Nothobranchius furzeri: one gene and its partners. The protein of the gene in region 3 interacts with the protein of the main gene of each other region in a biochemical or structural test. Links are inferred from orthologs where the notes say so. Each region holds a gene or a part of one and is shown on either strand. Other genes may lie near its edges. The genes, in order: phosphatidylethanolamine-binding protein 4, rb1 and raf1a.

Evidence for each region.
Region 1: the proteins of raf1a (region 3) and phosphatidylethanolamine-binding protein 4 form a complex in vitro, tested with the Homo sapiens proteins (2 studies listed by BioGRID). The link is inferred for Nothobranchius furzeri from reciprocal best matches to the Homo sapiens genes RAF1 and PEBP4.
Region 2: the proteins of raf1a (region 3) and rb1 form a complex in vitro, tested with the Homo sapiens proteins (3 studies listed by BioGRID, with this or other methods). The link is inferred for Nothobranchius furzeri from reciprocal best matches to the Homo sapiens genes RAF1 and RB1.

Annotation. Positions count from the first base shown.
Region 1 is NC_091757.1:40,557,748-40,561,499, forward strand, and holds the start of phosphatidylethanolamine-binding protein 4, read right to left. Parts: upstream 2,634-3,752; 5' UTR 2,531-2,633; coding exon 2,528-2,530; intron 1-2,527. UniProt on the Homo sapiens protein: Promotes AKT phosphorylation, suggesting a possible role in the PI3K-AKT signaling pathway.
Region 2 is NC_091750.1:48,282,501-48,286,217, forward strand, and holds the start of rb1 (retinoblastoma-associated protein), read right to left. Parts: upstream 2,848-3,717; 5' UTR 2,699-2,847; coding exon 2,592-2,698; intron 2,268-2,591; coding exon 2,147-2,267; intron 1,842-2,146; coding exon 1,738-1,841; intron 1,323-1,737; coding exon 1,188-1,322; intron 1,097-1,187; coding exon 1,058-1,096; intron 937-1,057; coding exon 887-936; intron 1-886. UniProt on the Homo sapiens protein: Tumor suppressor that is a key regulator of the G1/S transition of the cell cycle. The hypophosphorylated form binds transcription regulators of the E2F family, preventing transcription of E2F-responsive genes.
Region 3 is NC_091755.1:58,343,061-58,346,812, reverse strand, and holds the start of raf1a (raf-1 proto-oncogene, serine/threonine kinase a), read right to left. Parts: upstream 2,469-3,752; 5' UTR 2,238-2,468; coding exon 1,986-2,237; intron 1,885-1,985; coding exon 1,772-1,884; intron 1,676-1,771; coding exon 1,573-1,675; intron 1,487-1,572; coding exon 1,329-1,486; intron 904-1,328; coding exon 814-903; intron 1-813. UniProt on the Homo sapiens protein: Serine/threonine-protein kinase that acts as a regulatory link between the membrane-associated Ras GTPases and the MAPK/ERK cascade, and this critical regulatory link functions as a switch determining cell fate decisions including proliferation, differentiation, apoptosis, survival and oncogenic transformation.

The DNA of each region.
Region 1 (3,752 bases), on a different chromosome or scaffold from region 3:
GATAGGAATCACAAAATATTAAAAAACAACACAAAAATTAATCTAAATGATCTATACAACAGACTAAGTGCTGTGTATAATCTGTATTAAAAGAGCAAGTCACCCCCTACCAGATTCTTACTCAACTCCCACTTCCTGTTAGAAAAATGCAACAAAGGCTGTAGCCCAGCAGACCGAGAGGGCGGAGCCGCTAACAAAGGCCGTGTTTGAAACGAGCCAGTTCTGCGCAGATTAGATCAACAGTGATCGGCGTTCAGTGCATGCCGGTTAGATTTGTATCCGACTTGATGCCGACTCGCTCTGATGTCATGCATACGTAGGCAACGATAACCTCGTGAGATCAAGGCGGCCGCAGATTTTGGAGCAAGGCACTGCAGTTGCATTGTTACATTGCATTGGTGAGGTGCATTGTGGGTAGCCGGTTTTCAGGTGTTTTGTTCTATTATGGTGTATTTTCGGGTGTTTTGTTTGGGTTCTATTACTACGGATGTGTCGGTTGTTGTTAGTCTCTTGTTTAATTTTCTGAAGGTGATATTTTTGTACCGTAGTTCTACTTCAAGGGATGGAACCGCGGTGCTGTTCGGTAAAAAAGTGACCAGTGTCCTTGCCTTTGCTGGGCAGCAGCTGTTAGCATTCTGCTCTGCCTATCGTCATGGCATGTTAGCTGCCAATATTAAAAAGTTGGCTCATGACTCTTACACAACTTCCCGCAATTGGGCACGCAAATCTCTCAGCAGACATGCTCTTAACAGCACATATGTCATCTGTTAAAATGCATCCTGCCAAAAACAAAATTCACCAGCTGCCACTGACAGGGAAACTCTAGGACAGTGGTCTGCAAATGGCAGCCCGTGGGCCACGACCAGCCCACGAGCCCTCTCTTTGTTGCCCCCAAACCCTGCGCGCACCCCCAACCCTGACCGGGAGGTGTAGGATAGAGCTGGGGAAAATAATCAATGCATAAGATGTGGGCAGAAACGTTTCTGCATAACAGAAGAGTAATCAATTATAGTAGGATGTGGTTTTAACGGCGGCACCAGCGTAGCATCCACATCTGTCAGAGTGGGTGTTCTCCACATTTACCAGGTAGGAAACTTTGGTCCGCCTTTATGTGGTACTCCAGGGCTGAGCGCTGGAGTTTTAACCTGAGACCAAACCCGAACCCAATCAGCCCGATTGATTCTGTTGGATTTGGGCCGTGAATTATGTTAATTTAGCGGGTTGTCGTGCCCTCGCTCCGCTCGCTCGATCAGCGACTGAGAGAGAGAGAGAGAGGGAGAGACAGAGAGAGAGAGAGAGAGAGAGAGAGAGAGAGAGGATCGGAGGGCGCTCCTCCAAACAAGCATTATTATTTTCACAATTTCATTATCATTTCTCCTCGAAGCGCTCAGTCAGACCGAGTGCTGTGATGTCGGGGGATTTGGTCTTGGGGAGGGAGCAGGGTCAGTGACGGCGGCTGCAGCGAAATCAGTCTCTTTAAGTCTCTTTAATTTAGGGACACGGATAAGTTAAAAGGAGAGAGAAATAGAAGATAGACGTTCTTGTTCCACATTTGTCTTTTGTTTCATGATGATAAACTGATGTTAAATTCAGCTTAAAGAGAAACTGGGAGGAAGCTTTGGTTCATTTTAAGTTACAGGCGATCTTGTTTCATATCTGCTGCTCCAGAGACAGCATGGACATGAGGGTCACATGGTGAGGGTCCCACAGGACAGGTTAGTGCAGTCACACAGCCGAGCTGGAGGGGTCAGGTGATGTCCTGCTTTATATTTTATATTGCAAGTTTGTGTGATATGTGCATTACAGCCAGCGGTCCAAACTAGAGACCGCACTGCAATTGTATTTATTAAACAAGTGAACCACACCTTTAATTACATATCATAAAAAACTGCAGTATTTTCTTTTAGATTTCACTTTGTGTAATTGTGGCTCGTCTGTGCCGTCAGAAACAATATACATTTCTCCAAACGGAGGCCATACAAATAGTTACCTGAAGCAGACAAGATATGAAATGATTATTTCCACACAGCCCTCAATTCTTCATTTATCTCTATATGAATCCAGTTTATATTTAACTGTTTGTCTAATTGAATCTAAGAGGTTATTTAACAACCACCACTCCCAAGTGAGTCCTTTAAAACAAAGCAATAACGCTAATAAAGCCTACATCCGGGTCCTGGCTGGTGGGGGCTGTTTAGTTAAGGTGTCATCAGTAATAAAACTTGTGTCGCGCGCGCGTTGATCTGCATCAAATAGTCGGTCACGCGCTGAATATGATTACGTTAACAAGTGGTAATTTGGCGCAGGTACTTTTCATAATACTACATCTTGTTTATTTAAAAACGTGTCTTTAACCCCCTGCTGCTTAAGACTGCGTTCCCTTGTTTGTTCGTGTCACTATTTACACGTTGACGCGACACTTTAAATGAAGTCAAGACAGCTAGTAGAGCATAAATAAAGCTGCACACACACTATTATTTTTTTCTAACCTAGTATAAAGGTAGCGGTGTTGTTCATGTATCGTTACCATGTTTGAAATGCTCCTGTTGTCTTTCCTTCTCTGGGTGAAGCGCTCTCGCTGCTGCTGATTCTGCGCACCTCTACTGCGCACCCTACAGTATCAAGTGTCATAACTAAAACGGGGTAAATAAGACAGACGCAGCACTCATTATGTACGTGTTTATTCATTTATTTAAACATTATTTACACATTTTCAATAACACATGCTACAGAATTTTAAACGTACAGCTCCTAAACCATAAAAACAGATTCTTTAAAACAACTAAATCACCCGGAGGTCACAAAAATGTCCACCAGGCTCCAAACACTAAGAAAACATTCAAGTTATTTTTTCTCTTGTCTTTTTTAAATTTTAATTTTTTTAACAAGGCCTCATAAACTCTTCAGTAGTGACTGTGCAGCATATACCTTTTAGTCCTGGTGCTGCTAAAGCTCCCTTTGGTTTGTGCTTCTCTGCAGCTGTGATAATAGCACCCAGACACGTGAAAAGGGTCCCAGTGAAAACCTTTTTATAATTTATGATCAGATTTTTCTCCCACCTGATGGTTTTAATTCCTAACGAACTTGCAAAAGCATTTGGTGCAATTTTAGGAGAACCAGTGATACAAAGCAGCGCAAGTTGGCATTTCATTATGCATAGTAAAAGAAAAAAGGTGGTGAACTATGCAATAGCTTATATCAGTTACTATGTTGAGTTTGAACCTCAGAAGTCATTATACAGTAAATACATATTTGACTTATTCTTTTATTAGTAGATGCATTGTGCAAGCATTTTTCTGACTAGGATCAAAAGCTGGAGCTCATTAAGGAAACTTTAAAACAGTGAAATTGATCAGAAATCCCTGCAATCAATTCATTTGATGACCTGTCAACGTTTTTGCCTAGCCGTGTCGGGCCAAGTTTAGATAACTTTTTTTTGTGTGTTTCTAACTTTAAATGGTATAAACTCTAAACGGTTTTCAAACAAAAACACACTCAGTTGACCAACACCAGCTGATTCCTTTACATCCAAATGATGGATTGTGCACAGTTATTGATACACACAAAGCCTACAGAGCACCATGGCACCTTTAGATATAGCAAACAAGCTAGAGACCACATTAACGCAACTTCACATTCAATACCATAAACTGCAGTACGCTGTACATTAAGGCATGAGGTGATGTTGATGCAAAACATCAACAGAAGAATCACTGAGGAATGCATTGTACATCTATGAACTTTATCGGACT
Region 2 (3,717 bases), on a different chromosome or scaffold from region 3:
ACCTACTTGGCGTAAGTACATATTGTTTGCTGAGCTTACGTACAGTTTTAGTAAAGATTCTACGCAACGTTTGATAAATGAGACCCCTGAACTTTAATGATTCTTTTGTTCATGTAGCTATATTTTAGGTCTATTGTAAGAGGAAAAAGTACTTAAATTTTCTGTTTATGAAAAAAAAATGCAGTAAACGTTCAGTGTAAACAGTAAGCTATAATTTAACAAACGCCTATCCTTCACCTAAAGCAAGAGAACACCTATTTTGGATATTTGTATTTAAAAACAGTGGTATTTATTTGTGCTACACAAAAGTAAACAGTATGAAGATAAAATGTAAACTTTGATTTATTCTTTGGTAAATATGAAACATCTACTCTCAAAACCCAAAATGAAAGATAAACCCAAAGAAATGGAGAAATGAACATGCTTTTTAAACAAGAGGCAAAGCAAGTCAAAACTATTACACTGCAAACATGGTCTACTTTTATTTTATTTATTTATTTATTTATTTATGGGCAGTCAATGACATGCACTGGCTTGCAAAATGGCGCCATGAATTATGAAATTGCTGATTTTTCCATACGACACAAATGTGATCCCAGATGTTACGTTTAGCTCGGATGTTTACAGTCACAACATGTGAGCAAAACTTCCACTTTTTCCATGTTATTATTGTCCGCAAACTCAGAGAAGTGTTGTAAATATACTGTGTGTGAATAAGAGAGCAGCCCACCCCCAGTCACATGACCTGCAGCAGCCAATGGTATGAAACTGTGTGGCTCATTAACAAGGATGTTTATTTTCTATATCAGTGCCAACCCAATGTATTCAGTTTATGTACTCAGCCCTAATGTGTTCACTTGTTAGCGTGTTAAAAAAGGACAATTACCTTTGGCCAAAAGAAACACTGTCCAGCATGTCTGCATCGTCTCTCTCTCCCTTTAAAAGGAGACAATAAAATATTAACTATACAAGAAAACAGTTTGTGATATAAAAAATCCAACATTAACGAAACAAAACACATAAAATGTGTGACAAATAGAGCTTAAACTCAACTTACTTGCCATACGTGGTCGAGGTAAAGATCTTCTTACAGGTTCTTACAAAAAAGAAGAAGAAAATGTTATGTCGTGTTTAAATCTTTGCCAGTTACCACTCCGACGGAATGAAAAGTGTCCGTGTTCACTCACTTCTCAAACCTCTGGTAGAGCGCTAACAGCACATCATATTTCTTCTCCAGTCGTGTAAGAACAGAGTTCACTTTGGTGCTTATCGTATCCAAGTTCAAATCCATCTGCCTCACCAGTTCCATGAAGAGTTTAAAACTTGAGTCAAAAGGAGAAAGAACGTTAAGAATAAGGGCATTTATTACTAATAGTCAAATAACCATTTACTAAAATCATTAAAAACACATTTTTTATCTTGTCAGTATTCAGACATTAGAAGGAAAAATAATGTAAGATACTAAATAACCAAACTGAATCTTCTACTTGATTGATAAGAAACATGAGGAAAACATGGACAGACAGTGCTGCTATAGAAGCAGAGAAAAGCCGCCATGGGAGCACCCACGTCAGTGCAACTAAAAAGGGGAGAGGGGATCATGATTAAAAATAATAATGGTATAATTTTAGACAAGCATCTTTATTCTAACGATAATTCAAAACACCACAAAAAAGATGTGTTATGCTTTTAGAAGAGTGCACCACAAGGAAAACTCAGCTGACACTCAGTTCTTACTTCATACTGATAGCTTTTAGGATCTGAGTCAAGGTGAAACAGCCAACATCCATGTCTGTTACAGTCACAAACAGACAAGCACCCCAAAGCTTTAGCTGACGATCCTTAAAAAAACAAAACAAAAATACACAGTTACAATCAATGTAACTAACAGGATAAAATTTATCTGTATCACTATAAACATTCACAAAATACGTGTATGAATGAGAGGGACCCAGATCAGAGGGTTTGGAGAAAAGGAGGAAGATTTTAAACACATCAGTCCAAAGTAATGGAGTGTAGAAAAAAGGTGTGATCAAGAATGAGTCCATCAGAGGGTCAGCTCTTGTTAGATGTTTGGGAGATAAAGTCAGAGGACATGTCCAGAGAAGGGACAGTGGAGAATACTTAGGTTGAACCTCATCCTTACTTTAACGATCTCCATGGATTCCTGCACTATTTTCCACAAGGACCAGGCACGGTCACACACCAGGCCAGTAACATGAAGGCTCTTACACAGACTCACAAACTCTCCATCCTTGTCTCTGTGTCTGGAAGATGAAAACACACAGATCCCAACATGAAAGACAGCCAACAGCAGCAGCTCTCTCTCTCTCTGTCTGTAAACCTAACAGGTCCAAATATAAGGAGTCTATGTTCAGTTTACTCCATTTAATAATGTTCACGGCTAAAAATTCCCTTTAAACTCAGATATTAGCACCAACAAAGGCCTGCGTTAACTTTGGCCAACAAGATGGCCACAGAAAAGCTATCAATACTACTAGAACTAGCTAAACATGAATGTAAAACTAAACCCAACAGCTGATGACACTCTTGGTGTTGTGTTGTAACTCAAACATCTTTACTTTTCTTACTCTTTCTCAGATAATTCCGGACTGTCCTTGTCTGGAGAGGCGTTGTCAGCTCCGGACTTCGGCTGCTTGTTGTGTACCATCCCGGAGTGACGTTTCTTAGGTGGCATACTTCTCGTCTCTGGGTACCTGACAAGCAACTTTTATCAACCCAAGAAACTTGCACTTTTTATTTTATTTAAGGCAACGGCTAATATTATTCGGGTTGGACACGCAAATAAGCTCCGTAGCAACAATACAACAAAATCCGAACTGCTTCCTGATGCTGTTGAAAGTGTGTGCTTCTTTTGTTCAAAAGGAGAGCGCGGCGGAGAGCCGGTGACCCCACCCTCTCTAGTTTACGCTCATGATTTTCTTAACAAACACCACCTACTGAGTTCCAACAACAGTCATGTTTTGTTTCAACTCGACGGCGTAAAAAAATCTAAAAAATCACTACAATAAACAAGTCGTAACGTTATGTTTGTTTTAATAGTTCTCGCGGACCGGCGTGAAGGACCACGTGACAAAAAACCCAAAACGAACTTACCCTAACTCACGAGACCAAAACGCGGGAAAATATATCTACGTCACATCCGCTTTTGCATTTTCCCCGCCACTGAGGGACAGTAGAGTGCGCCCACAGCTTTAAACTACTGTAATATTACGTTCAACTACCTATTAAAGTTAAAATATATATTTTTTTATGTAAAAAACGCACAAAACAGTCAATGGTTACTACATTGCTTCTAATAAAATACACCAAAAACACAGTTCTGTCAGAAATTACTTTGTTTTGGAAAAACAGCGAGTCGATCATCTACGGTGTAGCATTTACTAGTCAAAACTGAAATACAGTTATCAGAATGAACTTTTCTACAAGTAGATATGTTTTAGACTTCCATCCCGAGTTGTGGTTAGGATGCGTAAACATTTGGTCCAGCTATACCCAGAAATATTTCAATTTATATACAGCACTTCAAGCAGTTTGAAAGTAAAAGACTCCTGTACCAGTTTGTTTTGGTAGATCTATAGTTGTGTAACATGAAATAAAAACTAAACAAATAGGTACAATTTTTATTTCACTTCTCGCTCTACGTTTTTGTTTTTGTTGGGAGCTGAAGCAAAAAAACTAAGTAAAATTTAGAGC
Region 3 (3,752 bases):
GCAAAGAGTGAAACTACATTGTTTAAGGGAAGTAGCTAGTGGGCTCGTATTTGTTACTGGTCTTCCTCTTTAGCCGTGTGTGGCTGAGCGGCTTTGTGTCCAGATCGGTTAAAGAGCACAAAACCTTCCAGCCAGATATGCTAATCCTACAGCAGCGCAAAGCCGCTCTCGGATCTGCAGAGAAATCGTCCAGAAGCGGCGCAGAGGAACCGGCTGTTTGTGTTTTTGAGCAGAACCTCGCCTTGGTGTTCTTCATGAGCAGTCCCGCTTTAGACAACAGGAATTAATATTCCTGTCGAGCATTTCGCATTTTTCTGCAAGGAACAACTTGCAGCGACAGCCAATTTAGCAACCCTGGGTGTTTTTTTTAAACCACTTTATCAGCCATCAAAACAACAGGCTGTTTTTCACACCCGGCGTTACATCATTCCTTCCACTGATAAGCTTCCCTGAAGCAAAGACAGCCTTTTAAACACATACAACACAATTAAAATATGATCCTAAAAAAGTCCAAACTTGACCACATGTGAGCCGAATAACATCTAATCTGTAATCTAGTCTACAACAGCTTGATGTTAATCTGGAGGTAATTAAACTTATAACAGTGCAAAAGTTCATTTATGTCAGTAATTCAACTTGAAACACCTGCAAAGGTTTTCCTGAGCCTTTAGATGGCCTCTCAGTCTAATCTGGATTACATAAATAAATGGACCATATTCTGAAGTATTGTTCCAGTTTCACCTGCATAATAAAACCTTGTTTTATCCTTCTGCAGAGGGTTTGTGATGAATAAGTAGAGAGAAGCAACGTCACCTTGGAAACCGTGACAGAGACTCTCTCATCCGTCGAGAGGTGAGCGGCGGCAGTGACGGGGTGCCGCTCTCCCCGGGGACCGGACACAACCTGCCGACAGAAACAAGAGACTAAAGTCCTGAGGAGGGTGTGTTTACAACAGAGCAGTGTGCAAATGACACTAATCTTTACAGAATTACTGTTCATCTACAGCCTGCATGCAAAATGAAACAAAACGGCCTTTTTGGCAGTGCCAGGATGCAAATGAGCACACCCCTATGCAAACTGGGATATCAGCAGAGCTTCCTTCTACTGTTCATCTTTGCAGAAAGTTTGGGTGAGCTCATTTCTAATATAAATCAAATTATAAAGCCCGAGGGAGATAAACGAACTGTGCGTGTGCTGACTTGCTTATTTTAATTGGTGTATTTTTTTGTAATTTGTTTGTTAAAAATGTTGTGCTTCACCATGTCACCATTTTCCCCCATTTAATCAAAAGTTGTTTTTATAATAAGAGACCCCTCTCAGATACTTACAGGAGCTGTCTGATGTTGCTCCAGTCCACACACATCGTGGGCACTTTGGTGCTACAGTGTTCGTGGAATTTGTAGCCACATGTTTGACAGCGGAAACCATTTAAAAGAAACTTCTGGCAAATATCGCAGAAGGCTAGCTTAAGATAGGTCTTCCGAGCCTGGAAATGACAGAAAGCATTTTGAACGTGTTGATTTAGCCGCTGGACGCGGAGGTGAGGGCGCTGCAGAGGACTTGGGTGCTTACAAAATTATGGGTCGTCAGCGGAACGTGATCTAAAACCTCGACCAGCAGCTCTTCCCCAATTAGAGAGGTGGAGTCAGTGTTCCAGTCCATCCGAGATTTTCTACTGGTTGGAAAACAAACCGTAGAAATAAAGGGGGAGAAACATAAGCATGTGATCTTCTTACTTCTGGTTACAATTGTCCAAAAACCCTGAACTCACCTTCTCTGACCTGGGTGCAGCTTGAAGACGGCGCAGCACTGAGGCTGCAGCCCTCGCACCTTCAGGGCTTTAATCAGACACGTGTACAAAGTCAAACCTGGTCGCACGTTTACCTGACACACGGGAAATTACAAATAATTATGATCTGAATTCAGAGGTCGCCGTGTTAAATGTGGAAACTCTAAACGCGTTTCCTAATGCAGAACTAACTCACCACCGTGCGTTGCTGGTTTGGGAGGTAGACACGGATTGTGCTACTAGCCTTCGAGTCTGGCACCTTGCTGTCATCTGAGGAGCGTCGCTGGTGGGGAAAGCCCTGGACCATAGTCGGGGAAAGGCAGGGACCCTCAAACGCAGAGTCCTTCATTCCAAAGCCGTTACTCAGGGTTCTCCACGCTCCTTGAAGGTGCTCCATCAGTAAAACTAAATACTCACAACAATCTATGCAGATCACAAAGGAACACATTGGATCTCATCCATCTCTGTGGGTGCATTCCTCATTTACTGGCTCTCTTAACTAGAACACAAAAGCTGCAGAAATGCATGTTTTGGGGCATACAGACACAATGTTTATGCTGACAATGAGAAACAGCATCTGCTGGCCTGGACACGGTTGATTAAAACACCAGGGGGGGAAAAGTGGCAAAACATGAGATTTGGGTTAGAGCGCTGTAAGGTTTAATCTCAAAACTTAATCTCACCTCCAGCAACCTTTAAATAGAGATCGCATGTGGGGATTGTGGCATAAAAACATATTAATTACTGAGAAAAGCCAGAAACACTGAGCTAATCCAAACTGCAGAGTTGTGTGTTTCTGCGGGTCTTTTTGTCTCGGCTGGAAGTTTATAACACGCAAAAAGAGTCGCGTGTGGCCTATATATGCTAATAAACCAGAAGAAGAAAACAATGAGCTGAGCTAAACTGACTATTTCATGCAAAATGTGTTTCCTGAAAACAAAAGGCCAGGCCATCAAATAAACCCACTCACCTGGATTGTTTCCATCACAAACTACTGAGCTTAATGTAAACAACCAAAAGGTTTTTGTTTATTCTTGACATTCACGTGTTTACCACCACCCTGCAGGTTTATACAGGAGGCTGCTGACCCTGAAGACACTCGTGTTGTTATCATGTCTGCTGTACTTGTGTTAATGCACATCTGCTGCAGACAGGCTAAACGCTGGAGATTTGTTGCAAACGCTTGATTCATCCCAAGCATGAGTTCAGTTTACAACAACGACATGGCTGCTTCATCAAACGTCCACATATGTGATTTTGACATGTAGCAGGTTAGCATGAATGCTGCTAGTGTGTAGCATTCAAACCAAACAAGGGACAAACAGCTATTTGGGATACTCGTGTGGGTTTTCTCGTGCTTTAAAATGATACGTTGAGGGTAGCAGCGAGTGTGTTTTTAAATAAAGCTCGACAGTTTCACCAAAAACAGCGAAGCAGCCAGCAGGCCCTCCCTGAAACAGCGAACTGAACTTCTGCTCGGTTTTTAATGGTTTAACCTGTATTTTGTGTTAATGTGTCTGAAAAAGAACCGGTTTTAACACTAAAAGTTCGGCTTTCAAGCGTGTATCAATAGTAGTGAAGTGCTAGGACCGGTAGATCGTACATGCTTACCAAGAGAAGTTCAAAAAGTTGTGCTCCGCCATAACTTTAGGAAAAAGTGGCGTCGGTGACATCATCATATCTGCAACGCATTCAAAGAAAAGTGGGAAAAAAGACCAAAAGCGAGTCCTCGACTAGTCCCAAACGCTCCTGTAAACGCAGAAAGTCAGTTCAGTTACTGTAAAACATAAAGGTCACAGGTGGCTCTTGGAAAAAATTCATCCAAAGCAACGGAAAACAAGGTTTTGTCTTCCGGACGTGACAAAAGCGAGAAATCCGTCGGTCCTTCAAAGTGACACGACGGTGGATTTTCTCCCTGATGCAGAAAAAACACTGAAAGTACAAGTCCGATGGGTTCCCCGCT